Linked DNA regions of Drosophila melanogaster. The protein of the gene in region 1 interacts with the protein of each later gene in a pairwise test. Each region holds a gene or a part of one and is shown in the gene's direction. Other genes may lie near its edges.

The links.
Region 2: the proteins of Eglp4 (region 1) and CG42263 interact in a two-hybrid assay, tested with the Drosophila melanogaster proteins (one large-scale study listed by BioGRID).
Region 3: the proteins of Eglp4 (region 1) and CG7407 interact in a two-hybrid assay, tested with the Drosophila melanogaster proteins (one large-scale study listed by BioGRID).
Region 4: the proteins of Eglp4 (region 1) and fax interact in a two-hybrid assay, tested with the Drosophila melanogaster proteins (one large-scale study listed by BioGRID).

What each region holds. Positions count from the first base shown.
Region 1 is NT_033778.4:23,607,073-23,610,653, reverse strand, and holds Eglp4 (entomoglyceroporin 4), read left to right. Parts: upstream 1-1,723; 5' UTR 1,724-1,847; coding exon 1,848-2,522; intron 2,523-2,602; coding exon 2,603-2,821; 3' UTR 2,822-3,062; downstream 3,063-3,581.
Region 2 is NT_037436.4:19,953,996-19,957,635, reverse strand, and holds CG42263 (uncharacterized protein), read left to right. Parts: upstream 1-1,836; 5' UTR 1,837-1,883; coding exon 1,884-2,028; intron 2,029-2,088; coding exon 2,089-2,183; intron 2,184-2,232; coding exon 2,233-2,389; intron 2,390-2,444; coding exon 2,445-2,536; 3' UTR 2,537-3,089; downstream 3,090-3,640. Other genes in the region: CG42654 (uncharacterized protein), read left to right, coding at 3,126-3,246, 3,309-3,344, 3,405-3,490, 3,542-3,640.
Region 3 is NT_037436.4:21,821,694-21,825,125, forward strand, and holds CG7407 (uncharacterized protein), read left to right. Parts: upstream 1-1,767; 5' UTR 1,768-1,838; coding exon 1,839-1,970; intron 1,971-2,032; coding exon 2,033-2,407; 3' UTR 2,408-2,878; downstream 2,879-3,432. Other genes in the region: CycH (cyclin H), read left to right, coding at 313-626, 703-904, 964-1,192, 1,248-1,359, 1,418-1,535; eIF2A (eukaryotic translation initiation factor 2A), read left to right, coding at 3,345-3,384.
Region 4 is NT_037436.4:16,408,789-16,413,791, reverse strand, and holds the start of fax (failed axon connections), read left to right. Parts: upstream 1-1,963; 5' UTR 1,964-2,373; coding exon 2,374-2,790; intron 2,791-5,003. Other genes in the region: Serinc (serine incorporator), read right to left, coding at 1-544, 912-947. UniProt on the Drosophila melanogaster protein: Together with Abl, involved in embryonic axonal development.

The sequences.
Region 1 (3,581 bases):
GAAAGCAATGGAAAACATTAGGCGTGGTCAGTGAGGGTCAAAAGTTCTGATCACCTGAGCCACTGTGTGTACTGGGTGTGTGTGCAACAGCAGGGCTTTTGAAAATATTTGCTTTAAATTGTTATTATTTATTGACGATCCAATTGTTATTGAGACACATAACTACGCAAATTGCGTGCAATTTGATCGACAGGCGTGCCGAGATTTGCCGTGATTTGTTTGCCACATTGCGTGGTAGCCCGATTCACGCAACGCATCCTCAATTGCAGCAATTGCAATTGATAGGAATCGAAGCGACGGTGGTAATTGATAGTGTGCCACTCTGCTGTTATCAATACGCAATATGCCGCCTGCTTCAATTGCGAGCGCGTCACGCACTTGCACAGCATAACAGTGTTATGCCCACCGCCCACCGACCAACTACACTGAAAATAATTATGGGGATTTTCGCTATCAATTACAGTTTAGTGCTAAGTTTGAATGACACGCAATGAAAATGTCGTATTTTAGGAACTATGGTTACTACTAATTCTAGCAATCATTGCTTAGCAGATTTGCCTTTCTCATGGCAAACAAATAGTAAGAAACAAGTTAAATGAAAATGATAATTTACTTAAAAAACAAATGTAAGGACCACCTTTAATATTATAATTCTCATAAAATGCTGTGAATAAGTCGAATGAATTCGATAGAGCAAAACCAGTATGTCAGTTGCACACCAAGTGTTAATATCTAACCTTGTTTCCATGGAATATCATCCGTATTGTTTCTACCATTTTATAATGATTTAAGCCAGGTGACTGGTAAAGGAAGAGTGGGAGCGAGAAGGAGCATCGCTCCAGAGATAATCGCAAAAGCGAACGAGAGCAGCGAATGAGCGTTTAAGATGCTCATAAATTCTGGACACTTGACTTTTTTATGCTCACCAGTAGGATTCGCTAATTTCCACGCCTTTGTGTGTGTGTGTGTGTGTGTGTGCTTGTGGTCGGTCCCCTTCATATGTGTGTGTGTGTATCTGTGTGTGTTGCTGCTCTCTCACAGGGGCTAAAAATGGGCTTTTGATTTACGCAATATTATATAGACACAGATATAAATATTTGCCTATGGCTACTCCACCGCCTCAGATTGACATTGACAGTCGCGCTGCCGCTTTGTGAATTTTCACCAGCTACGGAAAAGATTGATTATATAGTGCGATCTCAAAGAATTGGACAAGTGTCAAAATGAGCCACGAGATTCGGTAATTATCTGGCACTCGAAACCAAAGAAATTCAAAAAACAAAAAACAAGAGTTCTGGCTACCAGAAAGAGGGATTTACCAATCACAATAAACGGATTAATTCGCAACGTAGTGAACTCCAATTGACTCGAGTGGCGCTCAGGCGATAAGGTTGAAAAAGATTGGTTATTGTTTTATGGCCATGTCGTGATTTGATTCGCATTTTTTCGGCCATTTATCTATAAACCCAATTGACAGCCGAACGGCAATCACAAGTCTACTATATTTAGTACACGGCTACTTCATGTCAGTCCAGCCATCGATGGCATTCCCGCAGCAGGCATCGTTTGTCGGATCAGCAGCATAAGTTGTGCTTCCAAAAAAGGGTGTTTGGAAAATCGATGCCAAGTCAATGAACCTCGAGCAGCAGGGGATGGATCCGCAAGGGGTGGAAAACCAGCAGGAAATCGTCCAGGCAGCCGAAGGAGAACAGCAGTTGCAAAGGTCTAGAAGCTTGACAAACTAACTACAAAGTTGCACAATAGTTGAGATTGTAGAAGTGTGTCGCGGGGATTAGGTGCAAATCGAGGAGGGCTTTGCGAAACGATAGGATGGTCTTAGATAGGATATGATTGATGAAGTTCCTAAGCAGGTCTACTTAGAGTCGAGAAAGAGATGGACGATGGCGTGCGACAGAGAGGGTAGCTCGCTTTTTAGTGTGGCATTATTCAAGCGCTTCTCTGACCATTTCAGTTGCTGTAAGGTCTTCAAAATGAAGGGATCGACGCTGGACAAAATCTCCGCCTTCCTCGGCGAGCTCATCGGCACCGGCATCCTGGTCTTCCTGGGCTGCATGGGTTGCGTGAAGACGGACCTCTTTCCCAACAACCATCTGCAGATTGTGCTGAACTTCGGCTTCGCCGTCCTCATCGCCATCCAGTGCTTTGGCTGCGTCTCCGGTGCCCATCTGAATCCCGCCGTGACCGTGGCCGCCTACATCTACGAGATGGTCACCCTGCGCATGGCATTTGCCTACTTCGCCGCCCAGATGCTGGGCGCCTTCATCGGCTACGGCCTGCTCATGGTCCTGCTTCCCTCGCCCACACTTACGGTGGGCGCTGGGCTCTGCGTGACCTTGCCCCACACCAGCGTAACCACGGGCCAGGCCCTCGGCATCGAGTTCGTAATCACCTCCATCCTGGTCATCGTCTGCTGCGGAGTGTGGGATCCGCGCAACTCCAAGTTCCATGACTCCGTGGGCATTCGATTTGGCCTGGCCATCGCCTGTCTCGCCTGCGCTGCCGTAAGTTAAAGCGAACAGTTGGCTAATCCTTACCTGCCTCGAAACGGATTATTAACCTCGTTCCCTACCATTGGTTTTAGGGTCCCTTCACCGGCGGCAGCATGAACCCGGCCAGGTCGTTCGCCCCCGCCCTGTGGAACAAGCACTTCGAGAGCAACTGGATCTACTGGCTGGCCCCGCTGAGCTCCTCCGCCATCACCGCCTACGCCTACAAGGTCGTCTTCCGCCGCGAGGTGGTTGAGGCGGAGATCACCTCCAATGAGAAGCTGCGGCAACTGGAGGACGTCCAGCTGTCGTAAGGCCAAAGACATTGCTGTAGGAAAAGCCCTAACTAATTTAGTTAATATCTAAGATGCCGAATTTTAAAATAATGCATTCGTTGTACGCTAATGTTAGCAGTGTCTTCACAAAGTGGCTCGAACGTTTCAAAAGGCGAACCAAGTGCACACACTTACATAAGCCCTTGAAACGATAAACGTCTTGGTGAAAACACTAATTGCCTTCAGAAATAAAGAACATCGAGATTTTTAATCTAAAACCAAAACAAAACAAGTAAATTATTTTTATGGTTTTAAGAAATTCTACACAAGATATTGGTAGTTATTTGATACCTGAAGTTCTGCTCTTCTGGGCCATCTTAAAACATGTTGAGTCCATATTATCTAAAAGCTTTTCATTCTTCAATAACGAGGTATTTGCTTTGATTAGCTCTAAGTAACTTCCGGGCTTAAAAATACCAATAAGCTTTTTCCAGGAATCGAAAGTGAAAAAAGCCCATCAGCTTAAGCGGTCTTTGGAAAATCTGTTCATAAGATATTCGAATATCTTAGTACCTCCAAATCGACCAATCAAATGGTGGCTAAAAAACGTTATCAGCAGGCTGCGAATGAGACGCGCGTATCAGCCAAATAAAGCCAAAATATACCAACAATATGCAGTTATTGTACGTTACGTACTCCATTCGGGTCTATAGTCCGTATACGAAGCACAAATGATATATGTGGTTCTATGTGGTTTAAAGGGGACTATGTGCTATGGGTGATATGCTAATGCTGGATT
Region 2 (3,640 bases), on another chromosome or scaffold:
CTAAGATAGCGGGAGTGCGAGGGAGAAATTTCACAATATGTTTGCCATAATAATATAAGTTGGTGAGAAACAATTAGTTCAATAATACAATAATAAAATACAATACATTTATTTATATTGTACATTTTTAAATTGCGGCAATGAAAGATTTTTCGCTTATACGAACGGACAGATAAACGGACAAAGCCAGATCGACTCGGCTAGTGATCCTAATCAAGAATATATTCCATTCAACCTGTTAAATAGTAAATACACTATCAACGAATATTCTTCTACTTTTAAATTAACGAACCAGGTGAATTTTGCTGTGGATCAAATAATTGGAACAGCAATTTCAAAAAACAATTCGTTTTTGGGTGTTTGAAACCTATTTCGAAGGTACACAGAAAAATCGAATGATTGCATTTTTATTTAAAATTATACCAAAATATAAAATTACATCTGTATGCCTTTATTTATTTTCTTTTATTTTTATACGGACTTCGCAATAATATGGCTAATTCCGTTTGATATTTAATGACCAGGATGGTAATGATTTTTTTTTTCTAAGTGCAGGGAGCTCAGTGGGGACGGTACGCTTTGTGGCGTGAATGGCGCCATCAAGAGGCAGCCAGGCGGTGCTCAACTGGCAGCTGAATAAACAGCATCAACAACAAGTGCAGGGAATGGGAGTGGGCTGGGATGGGGTTCTGGGGGTATGGACGGATGGTTGGATGGGGATGGGGATGGGGATGGGGATGGGACCAATGCTGAATACCGTCTCATCGACACTTTTTCATTGAATTCAATTAAAAGCGAAATTGAAAATTGAAATTCAATTAAGATGCTATAAATACGGCAGGGATGGGGTGCAAGGGTGTCAAGCGGGGCAGAGAGTATACAGGATACTGTGGAAGCATTCCGGGATAGAAAGGACTCGTGGCAATGATGATAGATGAGCTGCCAGTGGCTGCTGGAAGTGGATGAAAGAGATTCCATCGATCTGTGTATTGGCTGGGAGCTTCGAGCGGTGCTTATGATATGTGACATGTCCTTTTTTTGAACTTACTCTACTTTCTGTTTTTTTTTTTTCTTTCTCCCTGACATTTAATGGGGCATCAACACCAACATGTTGGTATTGATGACAAATAAATTGATGCTGCAATCAATCAAAAATAAATCAACCATATGGTGCACCAAGATAATCAAGTCTGGGAAACAATACACTAATCTGATTAGGCTCATTAGTAAACCACCATCTAATATTGTCTTATTAGGCTTCGTCTTCACATTTCCATGAAATATTGCCCTTGAGCCACCCAATCAATTCTTGTTTGGTAATAACATCTTTTTTAATTTATGGAATTTAAGCCCAATGCATTCCCTTTGCAACATATTTTGTCACTGTTTGAACTAAATTTAAATTAGTGAACTTTTGCCAACACAAATCCTCTTTAACACTTCAAGTAAGTCCATGATGCGAGCTATCTTTAATAATCCCAAACCCCAAGCCTCGGAAATCACCCCCTATTTTCCAGTCTATTGAAAACATAATTTTTAGACGGCTGCTGCTTTCAATTAACGCATTAGGCAAGGAAAAGGCAGCAGTTTCACTTTGCTCAGGGGATAATAATGAAGAAAAAAATAGAGACCAAGGGACTTTGTCTAACTTTTCCGAAAGGCTAAAGTTTCCGTGGGAGGTCGAGGTCGTTCGAAACTTTGTTGAAAATGACAGAAGACTGCAGTGACCTAAAACCAGAGGAGATGCAGCAATTCAGTTTCGCCAGCTGATGGAAAGAAAGTTGAAGTTTATGGAGTTTAAAAGTTGAAAGCGGTTGGCATTATTTGTCAAACATGGAACTGTATTTTCTAAAATTTATAGCAACGTATTTTTCCTATTTTTGATGCCATTTTTAAGAAAGCTGGTCAGACAAGAATTTTGCTTTTGCATCTCGCTGACTTCTGGATGCATCATAGTTTCATTCTACACACTGTTTTTCGGATTCCTTAACGCAGGCACTACTGTGGATGAGGTTATATACAAGAACAGTGAGTTGGAAAAGTAAGGAAACCTGAATTTTAAGAACAGCATCTAAACCCAAATACCAGCACTCAAGACTGATGTTTATGCGAAATGGTTCAATGTATTTCATATAGCTCTGATGATCGCAGCTGCAGTTATCCTGCTGATATCTGTTATGACGGTAAGAAAATCACTTCCAATATTTTTAATTCTAATAAAATTCCTTTTAGAAGTACTTAAGGATCGTTTTCGTGTGGATGGCCATGTTCATCATTCATATGATATCGTACTACATCATCTTCAATGCTTTGATAAATGTTCGCAATCCGTTCTTTAAAAGTGCTGTCTCTGCGATTATTTATGTTTTCGTGAATTTAGTGACGTTGGGTAAACATATATATTAAAAATCTCTATTCTCGTAAGTTATGCTCCAGCTTTTCAGGAATCGATTTATTTTGTTTGCTCAAAGTCTACACGTATTATTATGTAAAAGCGCATCCAGATGAATTCAGACCAGTTTGTGTGGATAAATGAGAGGATGTCCTTAAAAATTAAATTGAGATCAGCGAAATTGATTTTTAAGATGATGAAAAGCAATAGCATTTCGTGCTCTTTACCCCATGCTCATCAAGTGAGAGGATGATGCTTTTACTGTGCTAATATGGCAGACTCAATTTTCTTTATAATTTCATTAGCATCTTGATGAGAACTGAAAACGATTCCACGCGTGCCTGACAAACACGACACACATCGGGCTGGAAATTCTAGGCTAATGCTAATGAGGCCATAATACAGATTGCTTAAGTTGTAATTATGCAAAAAAGTTAATACCACAATAAAGAAGATATGGCGGAAAATGTGAAGGCAATTTCGTTTAAATTTGGCGCCATCATCTGGGCGAGCTAAACATGAGTATTTGCTTAAAAGTTTTGCAATGTACATAAATTACGTATACGACTTGTGGTTCATAAACAAATCTTGTACATTGAAATTAACAAAGAATTGTTTTGATAATTTAAAATATACGTATAATTTTTTAACATTCAGGCTTAAAAGAAATTCTAAAAATAAAAATATTTTGCAGAATATCTTATTTGCATTTCCTGTCAAAACGTCTGAAATTATGATTCTGGCTAAAAAATTTTGCTTCTGTATATCCTTGCAAATGGGATGTATACTGATTGCATTGGCTGGAATTTTTTTGGCTGGCATGAACATTGACTATATGCTCCTTTGTTTAAATAGTAAATATATATTCACATTGGCATTAGTATTATTTTTTGCATTAAATTTAATGTTTTGATAGGAACCTATTTCAGAGAAATGCAGCACAAATTCCCAGGTAATTTAGTGACTAAGCAGTTCCAATGATTCCATTTGATAATCTAGTTTTATTACCCAGAACAAGCTCTCTACACTGTGATACAAATGTCTCCCGATTTGTTAACTATCTTGGCATCGTTCATGCTAATATTTGCAGTCTTATCGGTATGTATATAATATAATTAAAGATGGTTTTTACAAAATATATGTATTTAGCAATATGGTTGGCTGTTTTGGACAACTCTATTCTTTCAAGCATTTCAGGCAGTCTTCTTTCTTATTTTCAGTTTAGCTTCAGCACTTATGGGTTCGAAT
Region 3 (3,432 bases), on another chromosome or scaffold:
ATTTATATTTAATAAATATTTTAGAACTAAAACCAAAATAAATGATGTTTTCCCTACTAAAATTATACTCGAACTTGTAGCTGTATTAAAACGTGTTCACTTATTGATTAAATCATAGCCCATACAGTTAGTTATACGTTCTCAATTTTTGCCAATCTTGCGCTTCTGATTTCCAATGAAATAAAAGTGACTATTGTACGAATCACCCTAATATTTTTTCACAACTGGTATTTTTCTCCGTCCCGCAATCGGTAACACCATGCAGGGTGTCTGAGTTTCGAATCGGCATAAATTCGCCGGCAGCTGAGCAAGATGTATCCTGTGAGCTCGCAAAAGAGGTCCTGGACATTCGCCAATGAGGGCCAGCTCATGGAGTTCCGCGTGGAGCAGAACAGCAAGTACATCGAGTCGCACGAGGAGGAGGCGCAGGGTCGCGACCTCAATGAGCACTTTCTCACGTCGGCGGAGGAGCGCCTGTTGCTGAAGCAGTACGAGATCTACCTGTTCGATTTCTGCCGCCGCTTCGAACCGACGATGCCCAAGTGCGTTGTGGGCACGGCCTTCCACTACTTCAAGCGGTTCTATCTGAACAACTCCCCCATGGACTATCACCCCAAGGAGATTCTGTAGGAACGCTCACCTGAGAGCAGCAAACACCCAGCTGAAAAGCAAAACATTCTAAAAATGTATAAACCTTTTCAGAGCCACATGCGTGTTCGTTGCCTGCAAAGTTGAGGAGTTCAACGTGTCCATCAACCAGTTCGTAAACAACATCAAGGGCGACAGGAACAAGGCCACCGACATAGTGTTGTCCAATGAATTACTGCTGATTGGACAGCTCAACTACTACCTCACCATACACAATCCGTTCAGACCCATCGAGGGTTTCCTGATAGATATAAAAGTGCGATATATATTCACATTTGCTCTCCAGATTGTTTCGTTCATATTGGTTTGTTTCAGACTCGCAGCAATATGCAGAATCCAGATCGTCTGCGGCCACATATTGATAGTTTCATTGATTCCACGTACTACTCGGATGCCTGTCTTCTGCATACGCCTTCGCAAATTGCATTGGCTGCCGTCCTCCACGCGGCCAGCAGAGAGCAAGAGAATCTCGATAGCTATGTGACGGATCTTCTGTTTGTCTCCGCCAGGGAGAAGCTACCCGGACTCATAGATGCCGTGCGAAGTAAGTTTGTGCTGTGAGATGGTGCGCCCAGCCCTACATGCCTTTTTCCCGACAGAAATTCGCATAATGGTGAAGCAATATCAGCAGCCCGATCGGGAGAAGGTCAAGGCCATCGAGAAAAAGTTGGACAAGTGCCGAAATCAAGCCAATAATCCTGATAGCGAACTGTAAGACGCCCTAATTTGTTCATGCATTCCGAATTTAATAACCCTTATACTTTAAAAGCTATAAGGAGCGCCTACGCCGATTGTACACCGATGAGGATGACATGCCCGCCGAAGATGCCTCATTCCACATTGCAGATGTGAGCTCGGACACATCTGCTATGAACATCAGCCAATAGACTTAAGAATATTTATTTAAATGATGTGATGATCTACTACTGCGTGGATTTCATCGATATTAAAGCATTTTGTAATTTACCATTTCTTGATTGTTAAAATGTATGCGTTTAGTGTTAGTTTACTAAACAAAGTTGGATTAGGTACTTCACTTTTCCAATATATAAAATATTAAAAAAAAAACCTTTTGAAAATCCGCTTAGCGCTGCTTGGCAATATTTCGTTCGCAGCTAACGGCCACACTGCGCCCCAAGAAAAACAAGAATAGTGAACTCAGTCACAACAAATAGCAAAAAGAGTTCGAAATGCAGGATTTTCTGCCTTCGCTGGATGTTCTCTTTCTTGGACTACCAGGCCACTACTCGGTAGCGCTGGTCACCCTTCTGCTGTGCGTTTTGGTCGCCTTCTACTTCGCCAACATCTTCAAGGACAAAGGCGTGGGTGTTTTTGCCGGAAGAAGTAGACGTCTCCTGGAATATTTCCTTACATTATCTTGCAGGAACTGGAGGACGAGGGCCTGGGGGCCGACGAGCCGCGCGATGAGGAGGATTCCGAGTCACGGACTCCGCAAGGGGAGGAAACCGACGATGACGAGGCCTACGAAGAGAACTCCACCGAAAGCGAAGTTGAGCTAATCGAGGAACAGCTGCCCGAGCACAGCTACAACCACCTGATGGGCCAGCTCAAGGCCAAGAGGCTCCAGCATAAGATGGAGAAGACCCTGACTCCCAGCCAAATCGAGGAGGAGCGCCGAATAGAGCGCGAGCAGCTGGCGGCCATCTTTGAGCTCCTGCGCAAACAGGAGGCGGAATTGAACCTCCAGGACCGAATAAGCGACCAGGATCTCAAGCAGCAGGTGCGGCTCTATCGCTGAAGTGGCGCCGAGCCTGGGCTCACCCTACCTGAATGTACAGACTTGTGTGATCTATTAGTTTAATGTTTAAAATTCCAAGATTTGGTGTTGCCTCATACGGTCCACTAAGTGCGGGCAAGTCTTTAGTCAGAGAGCTATCTCATCAGTCGATGATGTCGGAATATAATATCTTAGTTGTATGTAAATTATATGTATTCCACTTCGATCTATGTATTTTGTGAGTTCCTGGTGTTATTAATATCTGATTTAGATTTGTAGTAAATGGCTGTTCGGCTCTTAGTCTCTTAAATCAGCTTTCGAATTAAGAATATATGTATATATTTTAACGTGTTACAAGATAAAAACTCGCGATCAGAAAGTGTATAGATTTAAACACAATTAATCGCCAAATTCGTTGGTTAGATTTAAATTGTGTTCATATAACTTTGGATTTATTTGTTCAATAAAGAATGTTTAGCTGTGTTAAGATGTAATATATACTCTAAATATTTCCTACCGTTTCCTAGCCAAATATCCGAAAATAACCGCTCATATTTTATATGCCGCGATTGGATTTTTGAAAATAATTGTTCTAACATATAGATTCCATCAGCACACCTTCGATTGGAGCAGTCGAAATGCTTAGCGTTTCTGTTCCAAATTTTTTAGTACTAAAATGTTTTTAAATTCACGTGGAGCAGATATTTTGTTGGAGTTCTAAATACGTTCGGTTTGGTTTGGTTGATGTTTAAACGTGTCGTTGTGGCGCCAATGCCCATGCATGTTTACTATCGCTTATCGATACACCGCGTACACGGCAACCGTGTGTGACCAATTCAAGCACGAAATCGTTGACCAACACTGATTGTACATCAGACGACACGACAACAAAAACAACAGCAACAACACCACCGACGTGCTTGTTCCTGTGTGTGTGTGCGTGTGAGATTGGAAGACAATGGCTGCAGCTGCGGATCTGGTTGTTCCTACCCTTGCCAGTGAGTATAGCCCGGATGCAATCCCCGCCAGGTGGTCACTGAGGTGCC
Region 4 (5,003 bases), on another chromosome or scaffold:
CAGCCAGCGAGTGAGCGAAATCCACAATGATGACCAGCTGGACGAGTATGAAGGCCAGGCCACCAATTAGACCCACCCACATCATGGCCGGACCAAAGGATCCATCCGGAATAAAGATGGCTCCAATCGCAGCGCCAAAGCAGATCAGAAATTTCAGTGGCCAAAAGTTGTTCTGGATGTGCGAACGCGGATCCCTGGAGCTCTTCACACCCAGCATAATCAGTGACATCAGAGCGAAAAAGCAGGCCATGCCAAAGCAAACCCTATATACTGCCATGTAACCAAGTGCATACTCGCAGTCGACTTGCAGAGATCCTCCCGAGACAGCGCTGAGTGCTCCCGAGCTATACGACGAGGTGGAGTTGATGCAGAAGGGCATCTTCTTCAGGGTGTCCTGCAGTCCAGGGGACAGCGCAATCGCCCCCAGTACGGTGCCCACCAGGAGGATGAAGGCGTACATGAAGCGCGATGAGGAGGCGTTGGTGCAGCTCGGGCAGGCGGAGCAGCACATGCTGGCTGCAGTGCCTCCACAGCACATGGCGCACTGGAAATGCAAGAATTAAGTATTAAATGGAGACGCAATTGAAGAATTATTCTATTTGATCCAACTTGCTAATAAGTTTTGTCAATAATCCGGATTAATTGAATGATCAACCATCGAAAGTTAAGTTTGCAATACATTTTTCATATTGTTTTCAACTTATTAAAAATTTAAAAATTCATTAAAGTATCTAATAGCTCAAATTGCAAGCTAAATCTTTCTTTTAGATGAAAATCATAGCAGCATTCATGAGTATTGTGAAATTAATAAAATGTTGAATTTCTCCGCATTTGAAACATATGTCTGCTTTTATTGATTTGTAGCCAATGTAAAGAATTTTACCTGGCTAATTAGCTCGCAATTTTCTTACCTGAGCGGCTGAACAGATGCCCAAAGCAGCTCCCATTGTTGCAGCAATAAACTTAGATTTTTACTTTAGTCAAACTGCGTTTTTATTAAATTAAACAAATCTTTGTTTGTGAAAATGATAGAGATGGACTATTTACTGCCTATAGTGACTATCGAATACAGCGGCTGGCGATATTTTTCAGCAATCGTAAGCAGTTGTAAATTTAAAAGTAAATGGGATCAATTCTTTCGCATATTTGCATTTTAAAAATGCTCTTTCAATGTCTTAAATTTTTCAATATGTTTCAAATTTTAAAATTTATAGTTTTAAAATTGAAGTAAATTACTGCAATTTTCTGTACTTCCACAGTTGCCATGCTGATTTCTGCAAAAGTCGGGAGGTGCCATCCGTTCCCTATTCAAATTTCAAAACTTCTGCCACTCCCTCCCAGATGGCGCTTTGCAGTTTCTCAAAACAAAATAGTTTGTCTCCTAAAATAAACTAACAAACGTTATAAATAAACATAAAACATTATTGAAAGCTGAATGAGAGAGAAAGTTCAGATCAATTTTTGTGAATTAAATCATAAACTAATATTATATTTTGAATTAACTTAACTATTGTAACAGTTATTGATAGAGTCGAAATAGGTAATACAGAAAAAGGTTCTATTGATAGTAGTTTTAAAAGGGTATCTGTTCAGTCAACCAGCTAATATTACCGCTCATAAATCTTTAAATGTGTACATAAATGGAGATGTTCTTAATTTTAATAAATCTAGTCGCGAAACTCGAAACTTTACCTAAGGATCGAGAAAACATTTGTTCATAAATTGAGCGTAAGCATAATGGAATATTATTTAAAAAGTTACTTAATATCATTCTTTACTTGTGTTATAAATTAGTTGCTTATAATTTAGGTTGACTCCACAATTTTAAAATTTTTACTCATATAAGTTTTTATAAAATCTATTCCTTGATCTTAATTTCCAGTCACTGGAAGTGGGTTATTTTTAGTGCATCTGCACTCGGCCGATTGCATTCGAGAATACGTTCGCACGCGGCATCTGGCCACACTGCCTGCAACGCTAGCTCGCCTTCGCAACGCGAATCCGCTCATTTCAAATTTTCAAACTCCCGAGAGCGGTTGCGGCGGTGTCGAGACAGCGGCTCCTGAATCCATCCGAATCCGAAAGCGAATCGCATCCAGCCAAGATATCCTATCGTGCAGCTGAAACCCGAAACCCGAATCCGAGTTCGAAACGAAACGAATCGCAGTGGTGGTTTCTCTCTCGCTCTCTAGCTCTCCCTCTCTCTCGCGTGTGTGTATGTGTGCGAGTGGCAGGAAAAGTGCGAAGCCGAAATCTTTTTAGCTGAAAGAAAGCGCAACTTCAATTAGCGAAAAGCAAGAGTAGCTAACAAAAAGAAAAGCGGATCGAAAAGTAAAGAAAAACAAAAAAAAAAAACAAAAGCAACAAATCGAAATGGCAAGCGAAGTGGCCCAAATACCCGCCGAGGAAACGCCCGCAGTGGCGGCGGCGGAAAAATCAGAGGAGCCGGAAAAGTCAGCGGCCCCGCCAGCGGACTCAGCGGCCGCTCCAGCTGCCGCCCCCGCAGTGGAGAAGGCTGAGGATGCCGATGGCGAGAAGAAGGACGGCGAGGCCGGAAAGCAGGACAAGCAGCAGGATGGCGAGGAGCCCAAAAAGGACGAGGCGGTGGCAGCACCCGTGGCGACCAAATCGGAAGCCCCGCCCGCCCAGAAATTCAATGTGCACAAGACCAACTTCGAGAAGGACATCATCTATCTGTACCAGTTCTCGCGCACCCCACTGCTGCCCTCCCTGTCGCCCTACTGCCTGAAGGTGGAGACCTGGCTGCGTCTTGTGGGCCTGAAATACGAGGTGAGTGGTGGTCATAAATCCGGGGAAAAAAACCATAGAAAATTCATGAAAACCTCATTATAAATCGAGCCATCATTTGGCATCCTTCAAAGTACCCAGGATAATTAGGGAAAACCCAAAAACGGACTAGGTAGAATCCCAGGAAGAGCCGAAAACTCTCAGATATTCCAGAAATCCCAGATTTTCAAGGCATTTTTGCGGTACAGATTTTTTCCCAGCTCCTGCGGGAGAGAGCGAGAGAGCTCGGGGAAGAGAGCCAGCGCCGCCATCATGGTGTGCTGCTAAGCCTGCCCGTGTGCATGTGTGTGTGTGACCTGCCCTGCCCCGTAACTGAAAAGGGATACATTTGTGCCGCCTTCCCTCTCTCTCCCAGCGCCCATGCCTGTGTGTGTGAACCTGTAGCCTGGTCCTTTGCGCGTGTGTGTGTGCACAGCGTATACATAAAATTTGTGTGTGCGCCGACGCCGCCCCTCACCCCTTCATCTCTTTGTGCTCCCCTTTGCAAAAGTCGTGCTTCAAATTTTGCACTTGCCGACTCTCTCCTTTTGTCTCGCTCCCTCTCTCGCCGTCTGCTCTTTGTCTTTTGTTGCTGCACTGTTTTTTTTTTATTTCACTTTTCTTTCGACTTCTTTTTGCACTGCACGAAAAGTTGTCATCTCTATGCGCTGCATGCATCTTTTCTTAGCATCTTCGAGATCCATGCAACTGTGCTCTCACTCCATCCACACAACAGCAAATTTTCTCTCTGTATACTTTAGCAGGAGCAGCAGCAGCAGCTTGTAATTGCTTTTAATAAAAATTGATGCAGTTTAAGCTGGACTCAGAAATAGCTGTCTCCCTCTTCGCCTTCCAACTCCCCTTCTCCTTTTCCCTTTCTTTTCTTATCCGTTAAGTAGCTGTAATAGTGTTGGGGGCTGGGTGGGGGGAGTGGCAGACAAACAACTGTCAACGACTTCCAATGGTGCCTTCCATTTTGGCTTGTTGTTTTTTCCTTCACTTTTTAAAGCGCGCGATGCGGTTTGCATATTTTTCATATTTTTTCTGTGCGAGAGGAAAAGCGTGTAGTATGTGGTAGTGGCCGGGGGAGAAATGGGTGCGGTCACCCGCACAAAAACTGGCGACGCAATTGCTGTTTAATCTTATTAATTACATTGGTTAATGAAAAACGAGCCCCTTGCGCGGAATGTTAATTGATGCCGTCGCCTTCCAGATGCCGATAAGCAATCGCCCCCATATGTTGCATTCCACGAAGCAATTATGATTGACAGTCCGTCAGTGGCCGCTTTTCGGCCCGCAGCTGGAAATTACTTTCCATTTTCACGATTATTCCCAATTCCACTGATAAGGCGCAGGCTGCCCAAAATACGGCGGCATTCGATTAGTAGGAAGGAGGGAGTGGGGGGTGGGTAAAAAAAAGAGTTCAACAAACTGGGGACCTTTGACATTTCTGGCATGGTTTGTTGTTGCTGCAGCGCGGCATTAATCATGGAAAAAAAGGGAGGGTGACTGACTGTAAATGCAACTGACTAAGCCAGTTTTCCCCCCTGCTGCTTGCGCTCGGCTGCATTTCTTGCCTGCTCTCCTCCTTTGTGTACACACATTCGTCAGTGTAAACAAGAGCAGAAGTTGTTTCTTTATTGATGATAAACCGAATGCATATTTTTTTCACACCACATTGAAGGCGGCGCCCATTAATAAGCACAGCAGCAACAACAACAACAACTGGGCATAAGTTTCGCTTTTGAGGCGGTGGCCCGCATTGCTAGCATTCCTGAGTGTCGCGCTCGTAGATTGTGCAATTAATTTACATTTTCTCTGCCATATGCATTGCGGGCACAGAGCGATTAAAATTCAAATGGAAATGCTGGCGCGCCATTGCATTTGTGCAATATTGCCGGGCTGCAATTTCAAGGTATTCTGGCAACGCTGCTGCCTCTCCTGCTGCAACTGTACATGTGCGAATGTGTGCGTATCGTATGTCCATGTGTGCGTGTGTGTGTATGTTGGGAGGAAATGGAGTTTTTTTGCTTCTCGTTTTTGTATTTTTTACGTTTTATAGCTGCCTTTGTTTTAATTAATAAACCGCATATTTGCATTTAAACAACACACAGTGGACGGCCTTTGTTGTTGCTCACTCGCTCCAGTGCAATTCTCCCGCTCTCGCTCTCTCTCTCTGGAACTTCTGTGCAAGGGTGTGGATACACTCACACTCG